4 linked regions of the Arabidopsis thaliana genome follow. The protein of the gene in region 1 interacts with the protein of each later gene in a pairwise test. Each region holds a gene or a part of one and is shown on either strand. Other genes may lie near its edges. The genes, in order: MYB62, AT2G28920, MC1 and SPL4.

What was found.
Region 2: the proteins of MYB62 (region 1) and AT2G28920 interact in a two-hybrid assay, tested with the Arabidopsis thaliana proteins (one large-scale study listed by BioGRID).
Region 3: the proteins of MYB62 (region 1) and MC1 interact in a two-hybrid assay, tested with the Arabidopsis thaliana proteins (one large-scale study listed by BioGRID).
Region 4: the proteins of MYB62 (region 1) and SPL4 interact in a two-hybrid assay, tested with the Arabidopsis thaliana proteins (one large-scale study listed by BioGRID).

What each region holds. Positions count from the first base shown.
Region 1 is NC_003070.9:25,599,645-25,607,324, forward strand, and holds MYB62 (myb domain protein 62), read left to right. Parts: upstream 1-4,031; 5' UTR 4,032-4,197; coding exon 4,198-4,351; intron 4,352-4,439; coding exon 4,440-4,569; intron 4,570-4,663; coding exon 4,664-5,240; 3' UTR 5,241-5,537; downstream 5,538-7,680. Other genes in the region: AE7 (MIP18 family protein (DUF59)), read left to right, coding at 168-309, 740-833, 918-1,017, 1,344-1,389, 1,498-1,595. UniProt on the Arabidopsis thaliana protein: Transcription repressor of phosphate (Pi) starvation-induced genes. Negatively regulates Pi starvation responses via the repression of gibberellic acid (GA) biosynthesis and signaling.
Region 2 is NC_003071.7:12,413,626-12,420,436, forward strand, and holds AT2G28920 (RING/U-box superfamily protein), read left to right. Parts: upstream 1-4,391; coding exon 4,392-4,829; 3' UTR 4,830-4,951; downstream 4,952-6,811. Other genes in the region: OEP16-1 (outer plastid envelope protein 16-1), read right to left, coding at 798-944, 1,024-1,091, 1,169-1,202, 1,299-1,330, 1,582-1,633, 1,721-1,834; CXIP4 (CAX interacting protein 4), read right to left, coding at 2,367-3,365.
Region 3 is NC_003070.9:407,388-415,469, forward strand, and holds MC1 (metacaspase 1), read left to right. Parts: upstream 1-4,276; 5' UTR 4,277-4,495; coding exon 4,496-4,871; intron 4,872-5,072; coding exon 5,073-5,403; intron 5,404-5,495; coding exon 5,496-5,616; intron 5,617-5,692; coding exon 5,693-5,908; intron 5,909-5,979; coding exon 5,980-6,039; 3' UTR 6,040-6,167; downstream 6,168-8,082. Other genes in the region: ALG12 (homolog of asparagine-linked glycosylation 12), read left to right, coding at 1-2, 81-163, 335-434, 686-751, 849-942, 1,021-1,098; AT1G02150 (Tetratricopeptide repeat (TPR)-like superfamily protein), read left to right, coding at 1,392-1,751, 1,832-3,046; AT1G02160 (Cox19 family protein (CHCH motif)), read left to right, coding at 3,416-3,506, 3,790-3,974; AT1G02180 (ferredoxin-like protein), read right to left, coding at 6,232-6,830, 7,037-7,118; AT1G02190 (Fatty acid hydroxylase superfamily), read left to right, coding at 7,767-8,082. UniProt on the Arabidopsis thaliana protein: Cysteine protease that cleaves specifically after arginine or lysine residues. Does not cleave caspase-specific substrates. Acts as a positive regulator of cell death.
Region 4 is NC_003070.9:19,802,614-19,810,312, reverse strand, and holds SPL4 (squamosa promoter binding protein-like 4), read right to left. Parts: upstream 4,051-7,699; 5' UTR 3,836-4,050; coding exon 3,537-3,835; intron 3,459-3,536; coding exon 3,233-3,458; 3' UTR 2,971-3,232; coding exon of another isoform or gene 2,923-2,970; 3' UTR 2,608-2,922; downstream 1-2,607. UniProt on the Arabidopsis thaliana protein: Trans-acting factor that binds specifically to the consensus nucleotide sequence 5'-TNCGTACAA-3' of AP1 promoter. Promotes both vegetative phase change and flowering.

The sequences.
Region 1 (7,680 bases):
GCTGATTGATTGATTTTCGATTCCGGTATGTATCTTTCTTTAGTTTTCAATTCGCTGCTTGCTTCTTCCCTGGGAATTTTAGGGTTTTTAGGGTTTTGTAATTTCCGATTGAAAAGTTTCGTGCTTTACGAGTCTCTGTAACTCAATTTTTGGCAGGGAGAAGAAAAATGGTATCTGGGTTGATTAATGAGAACCCTATCATTTACCCAAAGAAAGAGAGGCGTCTTCGTACTGATACAAGCATTACTGATGAGCTTACACCAGAACCAATTGATCAACTTGAGATTTTTGATATCCTTTCTTCATCAAGTTTTCTTAGAACTACTCTAATTGCAAACCTTAATTGGTGAATTGGTTTGATTGTGTGTGATTGTGAGGATGTGATTATCGTCTTACAGCTATTAGCATCTGAAATTAAGAGTAGCTAGTGTATGCATAGGTTTTGGAACAACTTGACATGCCTCTTAGCTTGAAGTTTGCTTCTTTACACTATTAGAAGTCATGAATCTTTTGTTCTCATATGCATATCTTTTCGAAGTAGGTGTTGGAACCATTTGACATGCTTCTTAGCTTAAAGCCTACCTATGAATCTTTTGTTCTCGAATGCTAAATTTCTTGTAATTATGCGTGGTATCGGTTTGGTAATCTGTGAACAAATGGAATCTATGTTTTAGTTGATACAGAATGATATTGGATTATTTCTGTTGTTTTCTTTAACAATACACAAATCATATAAGAGATATCAAAGATCCAGAGCATCCTAATACTCTGGAAGATCTCAGAGTAGTTACAGAAGACTCAGTTGAAGTGGATGATGAGAACAGTTATGTTAGGTAAAATGTTGGGATTGAACGTTTTGTTATGGATTTTTAGTGTTCCTTTGAGCCAATCTGTTGAGCTCTACCATTTCTTTTCAGGGTTACGTTCACTCCAACTGTCGAACATTGTAGCATGGCAACCGTTATCGGTCTTTGTGTCCGTGTGAAACTTCTACGAAGCCTTCCTTCTCGATACAAGGTACAAAGCTTTCTTGTTATTTCATTTCTAAGATTTTCCGGTTCCCTTTTCCTGTAAGTTTGTCAAGATGATCTTCTGAGCCCATTTTCTGATTTATACATTATCGAGAGTGGTTTGAACGTAACTGAGATCCAACACATGTTCTCCTTGTGATGATATATGAGGCAGAGAAATTTTTTAATTTTTCATTCTTAATCAACTGTTCTTGATACTTGCGAAGAGAAGATAGCCCTAGCCTCTACTATATATAGTTAGGACTGCCTTAAAACACACTCGCACAATGTTTTATGTGCCTCAGTCCTCTGAAACGAATCTTCATTTTTCAGATTGATATAAGGGTAGCACCTGGTTCTCATGCAACAGAAGATGCATGTATGTCATTTTTCAATATCTATCCATCTTTTTTGGTATGCATGTTTTGCTTTACATCGAGTGTACTTCTTTAACATGATGTCTGGTTTCTTGGTGTTTAAAATGCAGTGAATAAACAACTAAACGATAAAGAACGTGTGGCGGCTGCACTAGAGAATCCAAACCTCGTGGAGATGGTTGATGAATGCCTGCCATCAGAAGAGTGAATTGCTTTTATTTTCTTGTGAGCAAGTAATTTACACAAGCCTGGTGGTCTCAGTTTACACTATCAATACATGTCTCTGTTTTATTTGCAAAGATTTTGATCCATCACATCGACTAGGACTTGCATTGTAATACTTACTCTGATTTCAAGTTTGTTCTCAATCATTTCAATAAAGTCTCAAACACAAGTTCTTTTTAATAAAAGTTGACGTGTCATTTCGATTTCAAAGTACATATACATCAATCAAGTTGGGAACTTCACATCTCTCTCTCTCTTAATGCATTATTACAAAGTCAGCAAATTGTTTATGAAGCAAAAAGCTGTTTTCTTCTTCTTCTTCTTAGATGTATTGATATATGAAAAAGGAAACAACGATAATGAGATGGATATTTTTGGAAAGGATATGTAAACTTGAAACACACACTTTCTTTTTGTGTCCCAACTTATCTTTAGGTTTTCGATTATCCAGAGTATATGATGTTTATTGTTTCGTTGTATAATGTATGGGACTCGAATCATACTTTAACAAGAATCTTGTATATAGCAACTTGGTCTCAAGATCAACCTAGTTGCATAACTTGTAACCCTCCGATAGAATCTTGCAATCATATATATCTTGTAGATGTTGACGAACTCGAGAATCGGGTAACAATCAATCATCTTCTTTTGTAGTCTCGTGATTTGATTATTGTCGTCGTTAATTGTTATGCTATAAGTAGAGTTTAAATTTGAAAATATGCGTATGTGAGTTGTAGACGACAAAAAATATTTAAATTTGTTTACGTTAGTCCAATTATATGGATAATATTTGAAGGAAATGAATGTAACTGTAATTCTATAGAACAAAAATGACTGTTACTAATAACATAGTAACAATTATGTCATTGTTGATTATATAATAAGAGAGGATAATGAAGACACAAATGTCAAATCGACTTTGTTTTCTTTATTCCTGGTCTTTAGGCTTTATTTACATGTTGTTTTGGTTTTTGGGAGTTATCATCTTCAAAAGATTGGGTTGAACAGTAAGTGAGAGTTATTAGCAATACCATAAGTTTTAATACATGCACATAGACATTTTTTGACTTGCCGGTGTAAAGCGACACGACCCTTCCTTATTTTTCCAAAATTATTATTTGTTTAACAAAATATTATACAATACGATTTGAGCTAATGAAAACTAATATAGGAAGAAGAATCTTTGAATATTCAAAGTTTGAAAGGATAATATGCTATACTAAGTCCGCATAAATTAGCTGGCTTCTAGAAAATTGTTGTTAAAAATAGCTGTCTTCTAGTTTTACCATTTACATAAAAGTTACAAGAATTTATATCATTCATTACACCATATGTAATATATGGATATGAATTCGGATGATGCCACATCGACCACAATAGCTCAAAGCTACTAAACAAAAAGTCTTGACTCTTGATCAAACATTTGGAGTGTTTATTCCAATTTTTGGATTGTTTTGGTACAATTTTTATTTAATCAATAATTTGTGGGACAGTGGTTTATTAGGTTTTGTAATATCTTGTTTGTCTCGAGTCAAGACACATGTATCATGTATGCTTCTTGTTCCCATACCAATAATTATGTTAAACTATGTTCAATCTCAATATTCAGCAACATTACCAAATAGAAAACCAAAATTTTTATAAAAACTGTTAGCCAAAGTTGGGATAAAGACAATTTTAGAAGTAGAAGAAAGAAAAATGACTAGTATACACTATCACAGAGGTAAGAGTTAAAAATGAACTCTATAGCATATTATGAATATGACTATTGTAAACTTTTCCTGTATAGTTAATTTAGTATTTAAGAATCTAAATCGTACTTTCTTCTTCCAAAATTCTGTTCCATATTCTTTTCACGTGAACATCTAATCCATAGAGTTAAATCACCAAAATTCCATTTCTGTTTCATCGTCGCATAAAAAAGTTTATGAAACTGTATCGATATATTCTATGCTTCTAATGAATTATATACTTGGACCAGGGTTCATCGCAGGATTCGACTAATCCAAAACTTTTTTTTTTAAGAAAGTCATATTTAACTGAAACAAAAACCAGATGATTTAAAAAAAAAATGTTTGCATATATCATATATGTGTTGGCTTTTGAACAATGGTAGCTCGAAAAATAATTTCAGAAAAATTGCATGCGTAAGATGAAAACAGAGACGCGATTAAGAAAATGTCAATGAGATATTTTGTGATAACAAATACTAATGAGTTAAAACATGTTTTTTGACAATTTTAGAATGTATAAATGTCCTTGGCAATGTTAAAAAAATAACAATATTTTGTATGAGTTAAAAAGAGAAGCTAATTTAGTAAAACAATTTACTTTAATTTGGAAACGTGTGATAATTAATTTTTCATTGGAAAAAAGCAAGCTGATGGCTAAAGTAACAACATTTTCCAATACCACGACCACGAGTCTATAAATTCCCAAGAACCTGTTGAATCACTTTCACTTCTCAAAGCACCTAAAAGTCTATCTCTCTCTCTCTGTATACAGTCATGCATGCATAGAGCTTAAAAGATACGAAAACACCACAAACCAAATATCATTAAGTAATTAGGAAACTTAAACTAAGTATGGAAAATTCGATGAAGAAGAAGAAGAGCTTCAAAGAAAGTGAAGATGAAGAACTAAGAAGAGGGCCTTGGACTTTGGAGGAAGACACACTTCTCACAAATTACATCCTCCATAACGGTGAGGGTCGTTGGAATCACGTCGCCAAATGTGCTGGTAATTAATCAAGAACTTGATATTGGTTTATTAGTTAGATTCTCTGACTTTACTATATAATCACTATCTTTAACAAAAATGAGAACAGGGCTAAAGAGAACTGGGAAAAGTTGTAGATTGAGATGGTTGAATTACTTGAAACCCGACATAAGACGAGGGAATCTTACTCCTCAAGAACAGCTTTTGATCCTTGAGCTTCACTCTAAATGGGGTAATAGGTGAGTGATGAGTCACTTTCATATCTCAAGAGTCTTTTATTTTCTTTTTTTGTTTTTTTTTTCTTTTTTCCTAAACGAATATTTGTTATCTAAGGTGGTCCAAGATTGCACAGTACTTGCCAGGAAGAACGGATAACGAGATCAAGAACTATTGGAGAACAAGAGTTCAAAAACAAGCTCGTCAACTCAACATCGAATCTAACAGCGACAAGTTCTTTGACGCTGTTCGTAGTTTTTGGGTCCCTAGATTGATCGAGAAGATGGAACAAAACTCATCCACTACTACTACTTATTGTTGTCCCCAAAACAACAACAACAACTCTCTTCTTCTTCCTTCTCAATCTCACGACTCTTTAAGTATGCAAAAAGATATAGATTACTCGGGTTTCAGCAACATAGACGGTTCTTCTTCAACTTCTACTTGCATGTCTCATCTAACAACAGTTCCACACTTTATGGATCAAAGCAACACCAATATCATCGATGGCTCGATGTGTTTCCATGAAGGCAATGTTCAAGAATTCGGAGGATATGTTCCTGGCATGGAGGATTACATGGTAAACTCGGACATCTCAATGGAATGTCACGTGGCGGATGGTTATTCAGCGTACGAGGATGTTACACAAGATCCCATGTGGAATGTGGATGACATTTGGCAGTTTAGGGAGTAATTAAGTCGTCAAGAGATGAGATGGTAGAGCCTACCACTACGGTTCTATTATATGGACTAATATACTTCTTTTGCTTAACTAAGCAAAAAGTTTCGAACCTTTTACCCATATTATCTCGGGTTGGAGACTAGAACATGTTAAATTTGTATCTTCTTTGTTGCGAGTACTTACTAAGTCATTGGATAAATATTTATAATGATAGTTTCTTGTACAAGTCTTTGAATTCATGAAATCTTTTATCAATGTATGGAATTTTATGAAGTTTTAAACTTTAATCATATTCTTTTCGGATTGGAATTGAAACATGTTAAATTAGTCTAAATTTTTCCTCTTAGTTGGTGATCAAAGTCAATGTTTGGATAATTATTTATAATGCTTGTTTGTTTGTTATATAAGTCTTTAAATTCAAGAAATCTTGTATCAGTGTATGGAACTTCAATTTATGAACTAACCAGGTCAATTTTATACATGACTAGACTTAAGAGTAAATAGTAAAGGGTAGTCTCTTGTCTTGAAATCTTTGAGACTTGTGTGGATTTTAGTGAGAAGAAAACATATCTAATCTCACCTCAACAGGTGAAATAACCCAAAAGCTAGGAGAGTCGATCTATCCAAGATATTAAAATGATGGGGATAGAGACTCAACCATCTGTCCCTTCACCAAATTTGATGTGTTTCTTTGTAAGATCGTTGACAATATTACAGGGCATTTGGCTTGATTGACATAAATCGTTTTTTTGTGGAATTAACGAATCATAAATAATAATAAAAGAATTGATTACATAGTTGAATGCTCTTACATAAAGTTTTAATATATACGCATTTAGACAAACCATACAAAAGTTTTAATATATGCGCATTTTGTATACCAGCAGTAATCAATGTTGGTTCAAGAAGATAATAGAGACAAAGGACCCATCAATTATTTATTATAATTATCTGAAAAGAGCTTCAACTAAAATGATAGAGAAAGGTGGCTTTGGAGAAGTCTTGTTAATGGGATCGAATTATTGGAGGTCACTTCAAAAGCCTTTCATAAGTACATGGAAACTCCACAATGATTTGAACCCAAAGGGTACCACTAAAAGTTGGAACAAACATTGATGCACTTTTGAGAGGTTATGAACGATAGATCACACTCATTGTGTATGTAAAGATTTTAGTATTTCAGACAATATACAAAAAAAAAAAAAAAAAAAATTCCTTATGATCGAATCCAGAAACGTAGATGGTCCTGCTATGGACGTGGAATTATAAAATTGTATAACTTAAAGATTAAATATCTAAAACTGGTGGATAAACGCCAAATACTTTTAGAAAAGACATGAGTAACGTGGACCCAATTTGAATAGAAACATTACTGTATAGGTCAAATATTCATTAATTACGGATATATGTTAGTTGCAAAAAAATTTCAAATTTTGTAAGAACATAATCCACGCGGCCAAATCATTTGCATCTTCAAAATTCATTTCCAATGACAATGATCTATATATTGTGGAATTTTAATTGCATAAAATCATATATATTTTGAAAAATGTTTTTAGTCAAGTAGTTAAGTGTCTATTTTTGCGGTTTTCTCCAGTTACCCTTACCCACACAAAATAAAAAGTGGGCTATCGATCGGACCTTCTCGACTGATATGGTATTAGAGTGAAACCAAAAAAAATCATATTTTCCCAACTTAACAAGCACATTTATTTTAATCACTGTAATCGAAATTCTCATGTTCAAAAAATTTTTGGGAAACAAATAAAGTGAAGTCATGTTTGGTCTACATATCACCAAGCTTAATCTTTATATTGTCTGAATAGTTTATATATCTGCGGATTGGTCGACCATACAACCAGGCAGATAGTGAGACCAAACCTTGATCTTAAAATAGGCAAGTTCAATTTAAAGTGTCGTAGAACTGTATGGCTTGTTAAGGTCGAGATGGGCCAAACTAACATTTCTACTGCAATACTCATTTATCAAAAATTTGGAGATACGCAGAAATATCAAAAGTTATGAACCGAAATCGATAGTTCCATCGGTTGAACCCGAAAAGAACATCAGGGAGAAAAAGACCAAATATTTCAGTTCACACAAAATATATTAACGTACAATGTTCTAATCTTTAGTTTGGAGAAATATGTCTTTTAAATTACTTTTTGGTTAAGAAATACTACAAACCAAAAAAAAAAAAAAAAAAAAAAAAAAAGTCTTACTACAAATAATGGGGAAGTAGAGTGGGTGGCACTGGTATATTAACGTTGGTATGGTTAGGTAGGCCGTAGGTTAGTATGAAAGACTAGAGAAAGTCAAAAGTCAAGATTATTGTTTAAGAAGAGGCACCAACTTAAGAACACCAGCTGGTTTAGTTCATGAAACAAGACATTTTACAACAAAAGTTATGACCATCTCGTAAAGTAAACAGTGTTGTTTTGGCACCAAATCT
Region 2 (6,811 bases), on another chromosome or scaffold:
GGTATTCAACATGTATAATTATTTATTTATGATTTCTAACTATAACCAAAGATTCATATACTTTAGCCAATTTCCTCATATATAAATGGGAAAATGTCAAAAAAATCACGAACTTTCAAATTTAGGACGATTCAATCTTGAATTTCACGGAAGACAAATAAATCGTAAAGTTTTTGTTCACTTTCTAAATAAATGATAAAGTTTTTGTTGAATTGTCATTGGAGTCATGTCGTTGAGTAGGTTAACATAATTATTTTACGGCGTTAATGTCTCGTTTATCTCCTTTGTTAGAACAAAACAACATTGTTTATTGCAACTCGTTTTGTCCGTTAAAACAAATTTAAACCCTAAATCCCCAAATCGATTTCAATATCTGCGATTTTGAGGTCAAAGTAAGTCTGTGATTTTGAGATAATGAAATCGATTTGAGAATTTAAGGTTTCTATTTGTTTCAAAAGACAAAGCGACGTCGTTTTATTTTTTGGGCAAAGACTTAATTACTCTCTCTCTTTAACTATAGTGATAGTTGCTAAATACACATCGGACAACTCGTTATGGTTGAGTATACACATTAGAGAGTTTTATAGAAACCACAAAATCATTACTACTCTCTATACAAATTTTCATATTTCGAGGCATTTCTCATATTGAAAATAGCTAAATTGCATATTTAACGTCAACAATACTCGAATGTATTCATTTCAAAAACACTACATTGTTTTTTATTATTATTTAAAGAGTAAACAAAGGAATCCACACCATATGAACCAAATTGGTCCCTAAAGGAAGATGGAGAATCAGTAGAAATAATGATTGTTAACGAACTGAGAAGCGGTTGCAAGCGCGCCACCAAGAATGGCATCGATCACAATAGTGTCTTTGCCTTTCTTACCAACCGCTGAGAGCACTGCTCCTGTCGCCGCGCCTGCTAACATTGCGTTTTTCTGATACAAACAACTCAACCAATTAGTTCTACAAAACTGTAAGAATTGAAAAGAGTGTGAAAATGTATTAGTAGTATACCCAATCTCTGCTGCCACGGATACGTTCGATTCCGTATTCTGTTCCAATGTACACTCCACCAGCAGCTCCTGATCATATTCATATGCCACAAACTTTAGACTTTTCTTAATCACTCAAAAATGAGATAAATTAGAAAGCAACTTACCCCAGTAAACACCTTCTTTACACAACTTCTTAAGCTGCAACAATATTCAACAAAAATTTCAGAAACTTAAAAAAAGATTACACATGTCTTCAAACCAAAACACATAGATTTGATTCAGTAGTGTACTCACCGCATGCTCCAAAGTGCTCTTGGAGAGACTCCCTACAATATATGAACCATGGAGTAAAAAATGATATTTTGCAGCTCCAACAAACAAAGGTAATTAATGATAAGCACAAAAACAGATCCATCAAAGGTGTGTGCTAGTTGTTCTATATATATACAATACATTCTTCTATGCCTTTACTAATTCATCAACATCACCAAAAACACAACAGTAAAGTTACATAATAAAACTAGACAGAACAAGAACTAACACTTATGTGTTGTGTTTGATAAAGTTAAGGGCTTACCTTTGTCGATGGCCTTGTAAGTGTCTTCTGCAAGAGATTTAGTGACTCCAACCTAAAACCCATCAAAGAAGAAAACAACAATGAGAAACAGATCACAAATTAACAAAATGATCCATCAAAAAGAGATGAGTTTTTTTACAGCTCCGATCTTGAGGAAGGCATCAACGGTGAGATTGAGAAAAGGGTTTCCCATGTCCACTGCCACCGACAGCTTCGGCGTGCTAACAGTCCCGGAGAATGTGCTTGAAGGCATCTTTTCTTCTTCTTTCTTCCTCTGTTTTTGGTTTTGGGATATTTTTCTCTTTGATCTTTGCTTGTTCTGTAACAAGTTCACCTATTTCTTGGGATATAAAGGGGCTTTTAACGGTGGATATTTTAAACTATGGTTCAACGGTGGAGAAGAGATTAACAAGGACCCACGACGAGATATGTATTGAGCAATGAGCCAGTTAAATGACGACATTGTCCTCCTAGGCTAGAGCCATGCCAAAAATCCAACCCACAAGTCTCGTGATCTCTTTACAACGACACTTGCCGACGTGAGCTCTAACTTGCCGACGTAAATAATGGAATAGAGTAAAAAGACACAAATTAACACCAAGTATCTCAATAGTGTTATAACACAAGCTTGAAACAAACAGACCAAACCAGAGTATGGAGAGTGAAAATACAAAGACATGTTTCAACACAAATCAAATCCAACATACAAAGACATGTTTCATTATTGTACATAACATTGATAAGAGAGAAATGGAGAGTGAAAATGGCTCATATAGATCGATTTCCTACTCTCGCTCTTTCCTGTGATGACGTTTCCTGCTCTTCTTCTCAGACCGCTTAGAAGAACCACGTCCAACGCGTGAAACATCATCGCCTGAAACATTTGCTTCTGAGTCAGAAGAAGCTGCGACTTTGTTCCTCCGCTTCTGTCTTCTATCATCTTCAGAAGACTCTGAATCAGAATCATCAGAATGATTACGACGGCTTCTCCTTCTCCTCTTCTCCTTTCTACTCTTTCTCTTCACACGTCTGTCATCTTCATCCTCAGACTCATCAGAATCATCTTCATCTCTCTTTCTTCCTCTCCTCTCCTTTCTTCTCTTACTCCTTCCCTCTTCCTCATCCTCAGACTCACTCAAACTCCTTCTCTTATGCGAACTCCGCTTCTTCATCGACCTCCGCCTTCTCTTCCTATCTCCAGAATCCGAATCAGAATCAGACTCATCAGAAACACGCTTCTTCTTCTTCCTAACCGAACTCGTCTTCTTAACACTACTCCCACCTTTCTTCTTCCCAAACCTCTCAGCAATAATCCTCTCCATCTCAGAATCAACATCAGAATCAGAACTCTCACTCTCCTCTTCCTCTTCACTACTCACCTCCTCAACCTCACCTTTACCAACACCTCTCCTAATCTTCTCCAACCCCGACAAAACCGCAGCTTCAATCGCACCAGGATCTTTCTCCTTATCCTCCTTAGTACTCAAGAAATTCCTACACTGAAACGTCAAATGCCCAACACGGCCACACTTCTTACAAGAACCACGAGCCTCATCGTTATTCGAACCCGTAATCCTAGCAAGAGCCAAAAGTCCCTGAAAACTCGCGTACGAGTTCTCGGGATCTTCGGTTTTCTGTTGTGTCGTCTTAGGCTCTTCTTTACTAGTTGGTGCATAAGGATCATAACCAATCGCACTCTGCCATATTCCATGAGTCTGAAGCGCTGCACTACTATGCACCCGATTGTTTGCGGGCATACGCACTCTTCCTGCTGTCGCCGGCATCTTTTCGAAACCCTAGAAAAAACCTTCACAAACCTAAACCAATAACAGAGAAATATAGATTGATTAATACCTAACCAAATCAATATCTTCTCCAAAATACAATTACACAGAAATTTCACAACCCAATGAAATTACCCAGATTAAGCTGAAATCTAGGGTTTCAAGCCCCAAATCATCAAAAGCTCACATACTAATTTGCCGATTAAAGGGATAGATCCTAAATGTGAAAGAAAAACTCAGAGATCCTAGGGTTCCAATCGATCCTAAAGAGAAAGAGAAGAGTAAATAGTTTACCTGATTCGAGTGAAGGAATCGTTAGGAAGAAGCGACGGAGAGAGATGGATGAAGAAAAGGTTCAAACTTTGTTCTTCGCCAATGGCCTCTGAGGCAAAAAGGAAAGATTGGAAAGTCTCGAGGGTATATTATAAAGATTGGGAAATAGTTGGAACCGCCCTTTAGCTTTTGTTATTTTACATTTATATCCTCCAAATTTTGTGTATTTCATCATTTTTAGTTTTGTCACATAATTCGGCTGGGCCTGGCTGCGTTGAGAGGGATTTGGGCTGGGCCTGGCTGAGTAGTTAATATGTGTTTTTCTTTTTTACTGCTGTAATCATCCATCATCAAATAGTAACTGAAACAAAAAAAACTCCAGATAAAAAACAAACAAAACTGCGCATTAGCTTAATTTAAATTTAGTTAGTTTTGTGTTATCTTCATGACAAATAATAAAATGAAATAAAAACTCATAACTTGTTTATGATTAACCTCCAATTAACAATTTTAATTAGCTCGAATATTCTCCTCTTAATCCTTCCCGCCACATTCCTCTCCGCATAACTATAACTAAATTGCGTTAATTCAGTTTTTCACCAGTTCATCACACACTAATCGTAATTAACACTATAACAAAAAAAAAAAAAATCCATATTTAAGAACATCACTATGCATCCCCACAATTCAATAAACTCAAATCAATTTCACAAAATTTTCCAATAAGCCAATTTAATTTCTTAAAATAAAAAAATGGCATCAAGTTGTTGTGGGGATTACGTGGCGGCGGCGTCACCGGAGATGTCGACAGTGATGGGATCAGAATCAATCGTGTTGAGACTTCTTTGCGTCGTCTTTATTATCCTCTTCTACGGTTCTATTATTCTCCTCTGTTTCGTAATGTACCCGAAGCTACCAAAGGAAGAAATCGGCGATGAGGAAGCCGGAGAGCCATTACCTCCCGCCGTGAGACTCACGAAATGCGGCGGTGGAGACGGCGGAGACGGTGACGGAGTTAAAGCTGACGTGTGTGTGATTTGTTTGGAGGATTTTAAAGTAAACGACGTCGTTAGAGTTCTTGTGAGATGCAAGCACGTGTTTCACGTGGATTGTATAGATTCGTGGTGTTTTTATAAGCTGACGTGTCCGATTTGTAGAGCTCCGTTTCAATGGTTTGGTGGTGATTGGTAGAGGGAGAAGAGAGCAGGTTTAGGGTTTAATGTTCGGTACGATCCGGTTTAATCCCAATTTCGATATTTTTACTGTCTTTGGGATTTAGAAATTTAAGAGGCGATCTTAAAGATTTCTCTCCGGGTATTTAAAACTGTGATGTATGTGTACATATTTATAGGAATGGACACTACCGATTACGGTTTTTTTTGTAACACTATACCGATCATGGTTTGGTTTCAAAATTTGCGGAAATCTAAATTTATGTTATTAATTTTAATAAGATCAAATTATAGAATAACACTTTAGGGTATGTTAATAATTTTATAAATTTTTTAGCCTTTTGTATATTATCGCAAAACTTTGAAGATAATACATGTTAATTTTATCGACTAACATACTTTTATTCAAATAAAATTATTATTCGGTCATTCAAAATATTAAAGTAGTTAACAATTATATGCATTATACTTACTTAGATAATTGTAGAAAATATAACTAATTAAACAATTTTATCTGGTTTCCGTATATCTTTACATTTTTTCTGTTGTTTGGTTTTAGATCTTATTTATTGGACAAGTGGAACTTCCTTTTCTTCGTCTCTCCTTTCGTTCTTCCTCTTCTTTCAAAAATTTCATTGTAGAGGGCAATGTGGAACTTTAATTCAGTTGATCAAAATAGAATTCTATGTGTACTAGTACTAGTACTAGGTATATGTATATGATTTGATGCTGCTTTTGAGGATAACAGAACATATGTTTTATAGGAGTCATCTTGAACTAACAACTTAATGTCGTAACTTATCAATAAATTAATTATCAACTTAATGTGGTAACTTATTAGAAGCACCTAAAGACTCAAAACAGTCTTATATTTGTTTTTCTATGTTTAGAATCTCAACTTTGAATATGTGAATTGTTTTCGTAAGATCTTTGCTTAAATTTTTGTCTAATTGTGGGTGATGATGTTGGTTTCGATGAGGTTAAGGATGACGAGTCTAATTGTGGGTGATGATGTTGGTTTTATGATTCTGATCAGGATGCTTCTGATGAAGGTGATATATATAACATTTCCGTTTATTGTGGATTTTGATTCTTTGCTTATTTCACAATAATCAAAATTATTTTTCTTTGTATTGTCCGAGTCGTTTGTTACATACCACATATGTCTCGTAGTGTTTTATGGGCCGAAGCCTATCCTCCACAATTGAGGCTACAAAGGCACAACTTTTATGGACCTTTAGTCCTTTAGTCTTTATTTTCGAGTTTGTTTTTGTATCATGAATTCTTCTTTCATTAGTCTTGTCTTCTTTTATTTTTTGCTAAAAACATTTTTTTACAAAAGAATTTGTTGTTCATTTTTGTTGATAAGATATGTCACATTAAAGGGAAAATTTGACAACTCTCTCTATACCTAACCTGCCTCTTAATAATTTCGATTTCGGCGTTGACTTTTGTGCAGACAAAACTAACAAAGTACATGTGAACCGTACGGAATAAGCATCATCATTTGAAGAGTCAAGCATCACTATATGTTCTACGGTGACATCATAACCCACTTTGACATTTGCTCCATCAATTTGTTTGACTTTTCATTACATTAATTTCTTTCTTTCTCTTCGTCAACACCTTCCTTGCTTCTAGATGAAATCACATTTGAAGCTTATACGTACAAAATCAATGTTCTAGTATGTTTTGTTGCGTTTGACGTGATGATCTAATTTTTAAAAAATTGACTTTTCATTGACCGAGAAAAAGAGAGAGAGTTTATTCATCCTCTATGAGAATAACCAGTAAATGTAGTCGGATGGTAGCTGGATCTGATATAATGGTGAATACTGAATAGAATCGTCTATTGGAGGAATTGAAAAATCAAATCTAGAAAAGTCTAATAACTTTGTCGGAAACATTTTGAATTAACCAATATATTTGTTAGGAGTTGTTATATACTAGTACGTCACAAGAAAAATCTAGCTTCGCATTAGTCAAATTTTTTGGTTAATG
Region 3 (8,082 bases), about 25 Mb from region 1:
AGGTAGAAATAGTAAACAATTATCTTTGCTATGTAAGAGAAGGAAAGAGATTTGCTAGTCTACTAAACCTGGTTCTATAGTGCAGGGTGCACGGTTGTAACATTCATGGCATCTTACTACAATTATCCTAGCGGCTATGCTTTAAAGCGCTTGCATCAGATTGGTGAGTGACTTATTCTGTTATTGGGGTTTGTTATTAATGCAGCAGCATTGACTTGGCTATCAAACAAGAAACATCTGCTGGTCAGCGTTTGTTTTGTGGTGTCTATCTACCTCTGGTTGATAATTTGCCTACAATATGATTAATTGACTTGGTGCCTTCCATGGTTCTCAGGCCATCCTGCAAATGTAGCTGGGGAAGAGTGGGTTCACATAGACACTTTTGGTGCGATGAATGGAATATCTCGCTTTTGTGAAGATGATTTTCCGTGGAGGTATGTTAGCTGTACTACCTCGTTTTAGGGTTGGTAAAAGTAAAGGAAATATCAATGTACATGGAAAAAAGTTGCCACTCGGAAGCACCCATTTGTGCGAGATGAGGCATCTGTTTGTTTTTCATGTTCATTTTCTTGGATACGAATATCACTTTGTTGGAAAAGGGATCATTCTACATTGCCTTTGAATACATAGAAGAGGTATCTGTTTATCTATTTAGGAGGATATAAAATTTTGTTGTGCAATGCAGATATTCCAAAGAAGAAGAGATAGTAGTGGAGGAGTTGCGAAACCGAAATTTCACGTACCTGGTGAAGTGAGTATTTCATCATATAGTAGAAAGCAATTCATAGTAAATAAAAAAAGATACCACTGGTGGTCAACATGTAACACTGTTGTCATGCTTGGTGCAGCGAGCATTCCTCTGTAGATGGATACAAGTGCTTATTTTATGAAGAAGGCTTTGAGAGACTTGAGCTGCGGCGAGGTTTCCCTCCCATTGTCTTGGTAAATCGGTGGGCGTGGGGCTAGTATTTCATCAAAATAGGTGCATGGAATGTAATGTAATGTAATGTTGAATTGCAGGTAAAAAAAGCCAAAGTATACTTGCACCGGGAGATGAAGAAGGAAGATCCTTTTCATAAGAAATGGCCTGGATGTTAGGTAATCCTACAAATAGAGACAATGTTTTGGGTCGATGTAATGTAGCATTCCTCAGAGAGGACATGATGTAATGTAACAACGGAGATGCTTGTTACTGACTTACTGTAATGGATTCAACAAATTCATCCAGAAGCATCATCGGCCTTTGGGCTTTGAGTTACGCGTCACAATTGAATCAATTGGTCCTTTTAATTAGTTTTACCAATATACCCCTCCGTCTTTTCCCCCTTCTCGTTTAGGAAAAAAAATCATTAGCTTCGACTTATCCGAAACCTAACGAGTAACGACGAGAGATGCTTCTTCAGGCGGCGGTGCAGAACCGCAATGTTCCACTGGCTTCTTCCGCCTCCTACTCTCGTCTCCTTCGCTGCAGATCTCCTGTCGTCTCCGTAGCTGCTCTCTCGAAGAAGACGGCAGCAATCGTGTGCTCCATCTCCCAGGTTTATGGCTACGGCACGGTGGACTACGAGAGAAGGCCGATTGTCCAGTGGAATGCCATCTACAAGAAGATTTCGCTGATGGAGAAGCCAGAGCTTGGCGCTGCTTCCGTCTTGAATCAGTGGGAGAAAGCCGGCCGCAAGCTTACCAAGTGGGAGCTCTGTCGGGTCGTCAAGGAGCTTCGCAAGTACAAGCGTGCCAACCAAGCTCTCGAGGTCCGTGTCCTCCTTGTATTTGCCCTCGCTTTATTTTGTATCTTTAACACTACTTACTTGATCGCGTATCGTTTTCATAGGTGTACGACTGGATGAACAACAGAGGCGAAAGGTTTCGGTTGTCTGCAAGTGATGCTGCAATCCAGCTCGACTTAATCGGCAAAGTGCGTGGCATTCCAGACGCCGAAGAGTTCTTCCTCCAGCTCCCTGAGAATTTTAAGGACCGGAGAGTTTATGGTTCCCTCCTCAATGCCTATGTGAGGGCCAAGTCGAGAGAAAAGGCTGAAGCCCTGCTCAACACCATGAGGGACAAAGGTTACGCCCTGCACCCGCTTCCCTTCAACGTCATGATGACTCTCTACATGAACCTCAGGGAGTATGACAAAGTCGACGCTATGGTCTTCGAGATGAAGCAGAAAGATATACGTCTCGACATTTACTCCTACAACATCTGGCTCTCCTCTTGCGGCTCCTTAGGATCAGTTGAGAAAATGGAACTAGTGTATCAGCAGATGAAATCGGATGTTTCCATTTATCCCAACTGGACCACGTTTAGCACAATGGCCACAATGTACATAAAGATGGGTGAAACTGAGAAAGCCGAAGATGCACTGAGGAAGGTTGAAGCAAGGATTACTGGTCGTAATCGCATTCCGTATCACTACCTCTTGAGTTTGTATGGCAGCCTTGGTAACAAGAAAGAGCTGTACCGAGTCTGGCACGTCTACAAATCTGTTGTCCCGAGCATTCCCAATTTGGGTTACCATGCCTTGGTCTCGTCGCTGGTGAGGATGGGAGACATTGAAGGGGCCGAGAAGGTATATGAGGAATGGCTTCCAGTCAAGTCTTCTTATGACCCCAGGATACCAAATCTTCTGATGAATGCGTATGTCAAAAACGACCAACTAGAGACAGCTGAGGGGTTGTTCGACCACATGGTTGAAATGGGAGGAAAACCAAGTTCAAGTACGTGGGAGATTCTAGCTGTTGGTCATACCAGAAAGAGGTGTATTTCAGAGGCTTTGACTTGTCTTAGAAATGCTTTTTCGGCTGAAGGGTCCAGCAATTGGAGGCCCAAGGTGTTGATGCTGTCTGGTTTCTTCAAGCTCTGTGAAGAGGAATCGGATGTTACCAGTAAAGAGGCCGTTTTGGAATTGTTAAGGCAGTCGGGGGATCTTGAAGACAAATCTTACCTAGCTCTTATTGATGTGGACGAAAACAGAACAGTAAACAACAGTGAAATCGATGCCCATGAGACCGATGCGCTTCTAACACAGCTACAAGATGATTTGTAATCTGATAGTCCTAGATCTTTGCTTTAAAAAACGAATCTTGTAACCGGAGTCAACTGAGGAAATGCGAAATATGTATAATGTACACAAGAGACTGCCTAGTGAAACATGAATGTAAGAGCTGTGTCCCTTTTTGTGACAGCTATTTGGAATTAGTGTTGCTTAGGGAACTGGATTAGCCTTTGTTCTCTTGTTTGATTGTTGTTACTTGTTAAGACTAATATTGGAGAGGTTAGGTTGTGCTCTTTTATTTTGGGCCGGACGGATAAAAGGCCCGATATTGAATATATAAGTCTGAGAGTCTCAAAGGCCCATCTCCATTAAGATATCTTCGCGGAATCGGTTGTGAGAGAGAGAGACGGTGATCGGGAAATGTCGACGAAAGGCGCGGCGGCGGCGTACCCTAGCGCGGCTCGGATATCTGATTCTCCATGTTATCTTCAGTACTCTGCTTCTCTCAAATGTGAGTCATGCTCCTGATCTCACCCTTTGTGATTGTTTCTTCGAGGATAGGATTTGACATGTTATCTTCAGTACTGTCAAGTTCCATAACGAATTAGCATTGATTAGATCTCATCTATTTCATTATGCTTCCTCAAGGTGATTAGATTAGTGGGTTGAATCCCATGTCAGTGATTCGATTTAGGTCCCATCAATTGATAACGTCGGGTTTGATTCCTGATTGTTTATGTGTTTCCGTTTTCATTAGTTATGCCTCTTAGCTTGACCCCTTGATTTCTTATCAGGTCTTGAAGAATTTGGATCAGACAAGAGTAAATGCCAGGATCATTTTGATGTGTACAAGGAATGCAAGAAGAAAGAGGTTGTTGTTGTGAATGAATATTTAGGCTTTTGGCGTTTCCAACTTCTTTGCTGCTTTACCTATGTGTTATTTTGTTTCTCAGAGGGAAGCTCGACTGGAACGCAATAAGACACGGTCGTTGTTCTCGTGAATGCAGATCCTCGAATACCAATGATGTCTCAGAACATCACCTAGCTAGTAGTATCCTGTTGTTTCATTTGCAATGGCTGTGTTTGTATGATCTATCTAAGTAAACAAGTGGAAAGTGTTTGTTAATGTTACTTTTTACTCCCCATTGGTGAATCATGGTGTATACCTGTTAAACTTTGAGAGCAAGTGGTTATTTATTTAGTTAGAGAGTTAGAGCTTCTCCACCACCATATTGAATAAGAAGATCTTTCTCTCATTCTTTTACTTTACTCTGGCGTCTGAAACAGATCCAGGGATTCCAGTAGTGAATTGGGCTTAAAAACTGTTATATGGGCTTTCGAAAGTAAAAGGTTCGGTGAGCTGCCAAAGAAAAGTCAGATGCCTTTAATCGCATTTGACGACGATTCTTTACGTGCGCCATTGACTGCATCGTCGTCTTCCTCACGCGATTTGGTAATCCGATTCGTCTTCATCTGATTCCCTCCCTTCCGAGAATAATAATGTACCCGCCACCTCCCTCAAGCATCTACGCTCCTCCGATGCTGGTGAATTGCTCCGGTTGCCGGACGCCTCTCCAGCTCCCATCCGGCGCCCGATCTATTCGCTGCGCTCTCTGCCAGGCTGTTACTCATATCGCCGACCCTCGCACCGCCCCTCCTCCGCAACCTTCCTCCGCCCCTTCTCCGCCTCCCCAAATCCACGCGCCTCCCGGTCAGCTGCCTCACCCCCATGGCAGGAAGAGGGCCGTGATCTGTGGCATCTCGTATCGTTTCTCTCGCCACGAGCTCAAAGGCTGCATCAACGACGCCAAGTGCATGCGTCACCTTCTCATCAACAAATTCAAATTCTCCCCAGATTCAATTCTCATGCTTACCGGTACAGAGTATTTCTATCTTTTCAAATGCCTATGTTTGCTACTATACTACTATTCCTTGGATTTTGAATACAATTTTCCTTGGCCTCTTCAATCTGATAAACACACATTCCAAGTTACCATTTCGAACCACTTTGATAAAAATGTGTTGCATTCCATAGCTGACTAACTAATTGTTCATCATGGATGGTTTTCATTCTCAGAGGAAGAAACTGATCCATATCGTATCCCGACCAAGCAAAACATGAGGATGGCATTGTATTGGCTCGTACAGGGATGCACAGCAGGCGACTCACTTGTCTTCCACTACTCTGGTCATGGTTCGCGTCAAAGAAACTACAACGGTGATGAAGTTGATGGCTATGATGAAACACTCTGTCCTCTGGATTTTGAAACTCAGGGGATGATTGTAGACGATGAGATCAACGCAACCATTGTACGCCCTCTTCCACATGGTGTCAAGCTCCATTCAATTATCGATGCTTGCCATAGTGGTACCGTTCTGGATTTACCCTTCCTATGCAGAATGAACAGGTTATTAGTCCCTCAACCGCTTCTAAAAGGGATGTTGCTTACCTCTCTCGTTATATTTAACATACATCCATTTTTTTTTTTAATTGAAACAGAGCTGGGCAGTATGTGTGGGAGGATCATCGGCCTAGGTCAGGTTTGTGGAAAGGAACTGCTGGTGGAGAAGCCATTTCAATTAGTGGATGTGATGATGATCAGACTTCGGCCGACACATCAGTAAGTAGAACGACTCTAATCATACGTCTTGCTGTTGTAGTTGGTTCCTCCTCTCATGATTAAAACACATACACAGGCGCTGTCGAAGATCACGTCTACGGGTGCTATGACTTTCTGTTTTATTCAAGCAATTGAACGCAGCGCACAAGGCACAACCTATGGAAGCCTTCTGAATTCTATGCGCACCACAATAAGGAATACAGGGAATGATGGTGGTGGTAGTGGTGGAGTTGTGACGACTGTGCTGAGCATGCTTCTGACAGGGGGAAGTGCGATTGGGGGATTAAGACAGGTAAAATTCTTTCTTGCTCTCTTGTGTTGATACAGATCGATAAATGTTTTCTTAAATCTGTTTTTTGACAGGAGCCTCAACTGACTGCTTGCCAAACATTCGATGTCTATGCAAAGCCTTTCACTCTCTAGTAAAGGACAAGTCACTTTTTATGTATAGCGAGTGTGATTTGAGAATCCGTCCATATAACCACCTTTTGTTTCTTATTTTTATTTTTCTTTCAAAAGAATAAAGGAAAACATTGATTTGGTGATTCGATAACAAAATGTGCCATCTATTCTTTAGTCTTTACAAACAAGCAGCAAATGGTTTGCCTTTCAGAATCAAAATTTAAGGTGTTTCTCGAATAGACAGAAGGAAGAGAAGAGAAGTCCCAGAAAGCTGTTCAGAAGGCGCATACAAATCATGTGTGCGTTGCTGCTGCAAGGAAAAGCACTTCCGCTGTAGCAGCCTGTTCTTTGTTTGATACCCCGGCCGTTATCTTCCAGTACAAAGGAGGAGTTTTTCACACCATCGCTAAAGAGAAGACACCAAAAGAAGGTACCTTTATGCAACCTAGCCATTCCCACTCCAACCTCGGTATGCGACCTGTTTCTGAGCACCGACAACGCACTGCTATCTCTAAAGAGAATGTCTGAGAAAGCGACTTCTGGTGCTGCATACTTAGAGCTGCAGCCGAGGATATGGCCAGTTATGGTACCAAAAGTGGGGAGTTCTACACCACAGTTTGGGGCAAACACCTGAGTGAAGTCGTCTTCAGGGTGTTCACAGCTGAGAGTGTTGTTGACATTGCAATTCCCCTCGCAGAGCTCAACATACTGGAGGGCCATGCAGCCAAGACCGGGACTCTCATTTAGTTTGCCTAGTTTCCGAGCTGTTCTGTTCTGGTTCAAGATGCTCACCATTTCATGAGCTGAGTTTCCTGCAACCATTCTAACTAACACTTAGTCCGCCTAAAACGAATCAACATAATATAAACTGTCGAATCTGGTTCTGACTAAAGAAAGCGAACTCGAGATTAAATCAGAGGGAGTGGCTGTAAATTCAAAATAAAGCCTGGCCAAATGCTGAACGAGAAATCCAAGTCTATATTCGCATATGTTATGAGGGGATAAAGCAAGGAGTTACCGTGCAATTTGGAGCTAGCTAGCACTGATGAGAGTGACAGAAACAGTAAAATCAACTCCAAAATGCTGATTTCGTTCTTCATATCGTGTTTTATCCTCTGAATTCCCAGCGTAATAGCTCGAGCTGGCGGATTTTCGAAAAATCGAGAAAAACAAAAAACAGAAAAGGAGAAAGTTTTTGAAAGGAGATGAGCTTGATGGAGATGTTGACTGGTCCCTGAATAAATGAAAAATGTGTTGCATTATTTCTATTATTGAGAAGAAAAAAACCAGGCATTTTGGTTATTGGGCTTTGATTTGATGTTGGGCTCTCAACCATTGAAATTGAATGAAGAAAGAAGGAAAGTACGTGACTTGAATTTCATTTACTTCATTAAATGGGCGGCGTTGGGGCCGGTGGAGGTGGGCCAATGACATTGATGTGTAAACAGAGGTAAAGCCGAATTTTGGCTAAGGCGAATCAATGCCCATTGGCTCCTCTCCTTACATATTTGAAGTTTGAGGTTTCCTTCCTTTTCTTAAATTAAATGTTGCTGTAACATTTCTACTATTGTAAACCGGGGCTCCACCACCATGTGCTTCTTCAACACTGTATCATCAGAGCCCACATGGTCATGCCTCTATATAATACTTTGTATTATTATTATTCTTATGTCACATTATAAACAAGTACCTCCAAATTGCACTTCCTTCAAACTTATTCGACAGTAGACTAGCTCAAGTACCTTTGGATGGCGTCGAGGCCCGGAGCTCTTACGGAGTGGCCATGGAGTCCCCTTGGTAGCTTCAAGTACCTCTTGGTGGCCCCGTTGGTGATGGCGAGCATGCACTCGTACGTGACGGCTGTGGATGAGGAGAAAGACCTCAGCAGACTTATGATAGTCGTGTTGATGCTGTGGAGAATAGTTCACAGCCAGATATGGATCAGCGTGTCTCGCCAGAGGACGGCTAAGGGAACGAACAAGATCGTGGACAAGCCCATTGAGTTTGAGCAAGTGGACCGAGAGCGCACTTGGGACGACCAAGTCATCTTCAACACTCTCCTCA
Region 4 (7,699 bases), 5.8 Mb from region 1:
GATTAATCATTTTTGGTGATTAGGTAAATTCACTAAATTGCTAATTGTTGTCGTTTGTCATTGTTGTTGTCAACAATAAAACGAATAAATTTTTATTTTAGCATAAGCAAAAAAAGAGAAAGAAAGAATCATTTCGATATATGATAATGAGATAAACCCACCATATGTTTGGGCTTAATTGGCCCAATTAGGACATATTCTCGTTTTCCTCTCTCTCGCTATCTCTTGTTGCATTTTCGAATTTGGCTAAAATTAGAGTTGTGAAATAGGCAGTTAACAAAATTGAGAATATTACGTAATTAGGCACTTTTTGGAAAGTTAATTCCTAATAAGACACTTTGAAAAGATCAAACACTTTCGATAGGTTATTTGACTCATTTACCCTTTAAATATATTTCTTTTTTGTTTCATTTTATTTGTCTCTCTCCTTCTCCTCTCTTTTCTCTCTCTTACTCTCACAATCAAGCGAAGAAAATAAAAACTTTTACCATGATTTTGATCTCTCTCTCCCCCTCTTCCCATCATCAGTTAACTTATCAGTTCGTTCCTCAATTTTGTTATAATTGAATTTCTAGGATTTTGTTGAAATCTGAGATTCAGATTTTGCTCTTTCTCTCTCTCTCTTTACTGCAAAATTAGAATGAATCTTTGCTCTCTGGGATAGCTTCATTAATCAAGTTTCGGATTACAAAAACGATGTGAAGCAATCTGTCACCATCTTAAGGCGTAACATCAAGCACATCCGCGATTGGCTCGAAAAAGAATCCTCCGCTACCTTCTCATAGTTAGTACTCTCTCTCTCTCACATGATTCCTATTGATTTTCATGTCATTATCTACAATTCTCCATCTAACACACTAAGCACATGTGTTCATGTCTTTGATTTATGTCATTATCTCCAATGCTCCATCTTACATTTCTTCAAATCTTTACTTATATCTTAGATTCGTTCTCCAGTTAATTCTGGGTATCAATTTGATATAAGAAATTGATTAAAAAAAATTGTTTCCTTTTTTCATTGTTTTTTATGTTTAGCATCTAGATCTGCAATTGATATTGGTCGAATTTCGTAAAGATCACATTTTTACGATTTGAATTATTCCAAAAGTTTTCGTTTTTTTTCCCATCGAATCTGATTCTGGCGATTATCGTTCATATATAAACTTGTGTATTGAAATGAAACGACCCCGTGAGTCATTAGATGACCACATGGACTAAACCTGTTGGACGATCATCAATGGACACATGTTATCTTTGATTTGCTGTGAATTTGTTTTATCTCTCAGTAAAATTATCACTTTCTTGTTTATGCTTACAATATATTTTATGGTTTAGAGTTTTGTTTTACGATTTTGGATTTAGTGGATAAGTATTAGGAATTGAGGGTTTGGGTTTAATTTTAGGGTAAGGAATGTAGGCTTTAGTGCAGAGCCTTAAGGGTATAAGGTTTACACACCACAAACCATTTGCTTGTGTCAACGATATTGTCTCATATTCTAAAAAAAAGTTTGTTGATGGACCTTGTATTGATATATATAAAATGAATTGTTTGGATAAGTTTATGTGGACAATATATATTGGATACGTTAATACGTAATTAGGAACATAGTTTAATATCTGATATTTGTTCGGCATATATAATACTACTTAAGCTAAAATATTTTTATTTGATTTCAAGCATTTCATATAATGTTTACGTGGACAATATATATTGGATACATAATTAGGAATATAGTTTAATATATGATATTTGTTGGGAATGTATAATACTACTTAGGCTTAAATATTTTTATTTGATTTAAAGCATTATATATAATGCGAACTGTTTGGATATGTTTACGTGGACAATATATATTGGATGCATAATTAAGAACATAGTTTAAAATCTGATATTTGTTGGGAATATATAATATTACTTAGGCTTAAATTTTTTTATTTGATACAATATTTGATTAAACTAAATTTTTACAGATTTGACAATTAATTTTTAACTTGTTATCTCCATCTAATGCCACGTATATTGCTTTTAGTAATTGGCAACAAAATTAACTCATCTACAGTTTTTTTTCCTTCTCACGTTTGTAAAGGGTAAATTGGTCACAAAATCAATAAAAAAAGGTGGAAAAGTGCTCACTCACTCAAAAGTGTCCCAAACGTCCAAACTTTTGTTATAAGTGCCTTATAATGGAACATTCCCTTAAAAATTCTACCTAGTGAAATCTCTCCAGGAAAGAATCCGTCAAGGTCTAAAACCACTCGTTACTACTTGAATCGGCGCATTTAGTTCGTCTTTCTTTGCCTCTTTGTTGTTTAGTTCATGAGAATCGGTTCATTTGATAGGATCTTAGGTTTAACATGATGTTTCTCTAAGAGTAGTTATTAGGAATTTGGAGTAGTAATAGATGTTGGGGGTTAATCTGATAATTCATGTAAAATCTTTCACTTAAATGTTAAAACTTGTTAGAATTTAAAGTTGCTACGATTATTGGTTGTAAAGATCATAGCAGAGGATGATTAGGTCGGTTGCAAATTACATTCATTTCCAATTACTTGTGCAGTTGTGCTCCAAATTTGTTTGAGAACATCTCAAAAGTCACATTTTTTCTTGTTTAATAATTAATCCTGTTATCTCTAACTTTAGTATAGTCATATGTATTTCTGATTCAAAATCAGGTAATGTTGCAAACTGGTCATGCATGCCAAGGGAATAAGATAATTATTGATGACGTCTAAGGAGTCTCTCATCATAGCAAGTGATGGACCCTGAAAGGTTTGCTTCCACTATAATCTACTCTCAACGATTTACTAATAATGGTAGGTGTTTATTCAAATATTCTATTCTACTACTATGTTGGCAAGGAAAAGCTAGGATGATATATCTCCTTCGTGGCTCTGAAACTTCAGAGTGACCGTGGCTTTTGGTTAGTAGTTTCCCTGTGCTTTTGGATAAGTCACACTCCTTACTCGTATCTGTATTCAAAACGTTTACCAGTTAGCATTCACACATCGACTAGGTAGAAGTATTACACATATCATTAGCCATATCTTTGAAACATACAAGATAACACTCAAGGTTCAAGTATAGTCTTAGCGTTTGCATATAGCTGATAACATTAGAGAGTACTAGAGAGAGTGGTAGTTATTTATTTCTCTATAACATTGTTAGATACCACAATTTTAGGATTCTAAGAGAGAAGTTTAGATGACAGAAGAGAGAGAGCAGACAGCTTCTCTATCTAATCTGTGGTCGCTTGAATGATGAGTTTGGCATAGGAAGTGTCATCTCTACCCTTGATCTTTCTTGATTCTGCATCACCACCTGACCATTGATTCCTCTCCGACCTGATCCTTCTCCATAAGTACTCTCACCAGAGCTCTTCCTTCTTCGCTCATTGTGTCCAGCTAAGCGCCTCCTGCAACTTCTCTTAGCTTCATCAAACTCTTGGAGGTCATGAAACCTGTTTCAAGAACTCAAAAAAACCATTCAAAGATCCAGACAAAAAGTTTTTTGAAGGGTAAATTAGGTTGTACGTTACCTACTGCATTGTTGACAAAAGCGTTGGTTAAGTCCTGAGAGAAAGACAGAAGATGCCTTTGCATGAACTTCACACACTTTGTGTCTCCGGTGATACAGTTTTGCCTCTTTCATATCAGCTGTGCATCTATCTACTTGGCAAAGCCGCAACGAGCCACCACGATTGATGCTACCTCTAGACCCTCTAACTCTATCCCTACCTACTTCCTCTTCTTCATCCGTATCAGTCTCCATATCTTCTTCCACAAGGTAAGACTTCTTTTTCATGTAACCTTGTCCTTGTGATCTCTTACCCTCCATTTTGGAGTCTTATAAAGATGGTTTGTTGGAGGAAGGAAACTCTAATAGGTTAAGCAATGTTTGAGGAATGGGACTTGATGATATTGTTGACGAAATTGAAGGGTTTAAAAGGTGAAGTAAAGTCGGGAGATGGACCACTGTGTTCTTGTACGTTTCTCTGGTGGAATAAGTGCATGATTACGTTGATGTGCTAGCTCAGAAAAATAAAAATTAAAGTTTGGGAAAGAAAGAAAAAGAGATTTACATAGATAAGTATTAAAAACATTTTCATTAGTTTGTTTGATTTAGATTCAAGAAATAATTGATAGTAATATGAAAACTAAAGATCAGTTTTCCTAGTTTAGTGTTTGAAGTTCAATCTGAAAATTTGTTTCAAATTTAAGATCTTTTTTACCATGATGATATCATTGGTTGCCTTTAAGAGGAAGTCTTTATTGGCCTGCCACTGTGTGCAATAGTACATCAAGGTCCATAATTTACACATAGGCTTAAACTCATAACAATCTTTTTGTTGTTTAGGAACAAAACAAAAAGTACTCCTAATAAATTGATGTGACTATTGAATTCGTTTGCTTGCAACCTTGAGGTCTTCTTTTGGTAGACTCTTATTGGAAATGCATTTACCGTAACTTAGGATCTGATCACTGTTTTTTTGTTTGATATATATTGTTTTTTAGACATGGATAATTATCACGTGTATGGACCAGGACAAACAAACGAATAGAGTAGATGCTTATATACGATCTAACCCTTTTGATTTCTTTCTTGTGTTAACATTTATTATTATCACTATTGCTTATATAAAGATTCTATGTAGAAGTGGAGGAATTACAGATTGAAAGATGGAAATAGAACAAATGAGATCACTTACTTTAATTAAAGTGTTGATGCAATAGATATCTGGAACCATTTTAAGACAGAGATTTGTTGTGAGTTCTAATGCATGTTTTTCTTTTACTTGTTATCACCATGAAAGTAATAAAAGCCTCTCACTTTTACCTTCCTTTCTTTTTTACAGTGTGTTGTGTGGAGAAGCAATCACTGACAGATTCCACTGGCATCATCATAATTAACTCTCTGTGAATAGTCAGTGAAACAAATGAAAGTAACTTTGAATCTTTGAGTTGAATAGGTAAAAAGAACCAACAAAGCAGGAAACAGATAAGTTCACTGATTTACTCAAGTGTGTAATTTTCCTTAAACATTTTACAGTGTTGTTGTCTTATTGTTTCTGAAGTACTAGAATTAGTGGGTAGTGAAAGAGACAAGACACAAAGGTTTCACATGCGACATTGTACTCTCTCTGACTTTCTGCCTTGCCTTACCTTGCCTTACCTTGCCTGACGCAACTTAGCTTTTCCAAAGCCAAAAGCTGCCTTTTTTTTTTTTTTTGCATAACTGAATAAACTTTGTCCCTATGAGTTTCCGGTTTGGGTTGTTCCTGAAAGATTTATTTAGGTTGATTTTCAAACCAGAATTAGATTGAGATGTAATAAACAAATTAAATCACACATTTCTATATTCATTAAACATTATAACAATTCGGTTTCGATTTACAATTGTTTCCTTTGTTTTCTGTTTGTGAGTTGTGACTGTCCATGTGTCACATCTCTCTTATATATGTGCAATTGTAAAATTTGTGTCATAAGTAACTTACATAACCTATGGGTAAAAACAAGTGATAACAATGATTCACTTCTTGGAATGTTATAATATGTTGGAACTTGAAAGTTTTTGTTAGTGTAAATAAAAGTGGTACTCTTGGAATCATCTCAAGTAAAAGGTTGATATTCAAGTTTTGGACTATCTAACAAAAAAGGTGATTCCAAATTGTGACCTGGAAACTTTACATATGTATATGATCCACGAGAAGAAGAATATATATTAAAAACAGTTTTTTTTATATAAAAAAAAATCTTTCAATCTGAGTGATAAGAGTATTATGGATGATACTAATTTGTTCGCATTAAAACTTTTACAAATGTTGGATTCTTTCCTTTATTCATATTCTGCATTTACTTACTTCGTTCCCCCGCGTCGCTCTTTTTACGTTAGCAAACAAAACGGACGTAACTATCCGTAGGACCTTGTCCGTAGCTACACACCTCCATTGATTTTTTTTTTAAGATGCCTTTGGTTTTAGAATCCAAATTATATGATTTGTCGAGCTCAGTGATCAATTTTGTCAAATTTATGTTTTGCCACGTATCAAGATTTGCATGGGTTATAATATACAACTAGCCAGTTAATAGAATTTGTTCAAGACATATATCATCAAGATTTGCATGGATTATATGGCTAGTTAATATTTTTATTCGAAAACATTTTAAGGTATTTAAAACTATATATGCGTAAATATTATATTACTTCTCTACAACGTGTATAATCATTTAGATCAAACTATTAAAGATTTCTAGTTTAGGTGCATATTTATATTTTTTATAATGTTTATTCTAAATGAGTCGAATACATTATACATGAATTACTCATGCTAATAATAATCCCAGAACCGGTTACAAATTTATGGCAGGCCTTACTCAAAAGTCAAAATTATAATTTTTGTAATCATTTTTGAATGTAATAAGCTTATAAGTGAAAAGAACGTGAGAAAGTTTCATAAAATTTAAGTCAAAAAATCAGAACAAAAACAAAACAAAGTTTAACTTTCAATAACCTATAATTTTTTGAGCCCTAATCGTTGATTGGTTTATGTGACCTCTGGACCGGCCCTGAATAACCGTGATAATCATACTTATTAATTAACCTTCAATATAGAAAACAAAAAAATAAAACCAAATATCTGAATATTGGTCCATTAACTTTTGGTCCACTATCCACAACATTGCTAGAGTAGTAATCTTCAACAATACTAGAGCATCTTTGTGTATGCTTGTGAAAATAAAGTTTTGGAAGTAGTACCAACAGATTTCGAATCGATTCCTGTGAGTGCCAAAAGCTATATTATTACTTTCGATCACACGAGGAATGAGATTTGTCTCTTCGTTTATAGGAATTTCAACGGAACAAATCTTCTTCTCAGATTCTTTCATATATCTAACTATGCGATCCAGCTATCTCTTTTACATACACCAACAAAACTATATCCATTTGCATTCTCATTTCTTACGTCATAAATATTTACACTTGACAAAAACAAATTTAAATTTAAATAGAATATATTCCAAAACGCCATCTTGTATTTATCCGATGTTCAAAATTCCGCTATACGCTAATCGAATGTTTCGGAAAAACCTTATCAAAAATCCCCCTATGATAATTCAATTTGAAATTAATTTTGATACGGGATTTGATTTTTTTTTTTCTTATAATTAAATGATGTTTTTTAAAAAAAACTGAAAAATAATAAATACATTAATCGATGCTTAAAAATATTAATTAGACAGACGTCTAAAACATCTTGTAACCAATTTATTTCTAACATTTTAAGGAAAAAAGAAGAAGAAAACAATAATATAATGAGCTCGATGATGAGTGACATGGAGGAACATCTGGATTTATGCATGTGGACACTTACTATTATGTTATGTTGTGTCTCGTTACGCCATCAAGTTTCACCAAATCTTTTTGTTTTTTTCTTGTTTTTCACCATTTTTTTTTTCTTTTTATATGTTTGTTTATTTACATATATCTCCTATACGATTACAAATTACAGATAAACCCATATATTTCTAACAGAGCCCTCCTTCAATTCTCATGTTTTACATATTCTCCCGAATCCCATATCTTTATCGGCTTTCCTGTATAAGGAACATCATTTGGCCCTGTATGGAATTCAGTGTAATAACCAAGTTTCCGGATTAGTTAAGTCGGTTCTCGGTTATGGTTAACGATTCTGGTTCAATT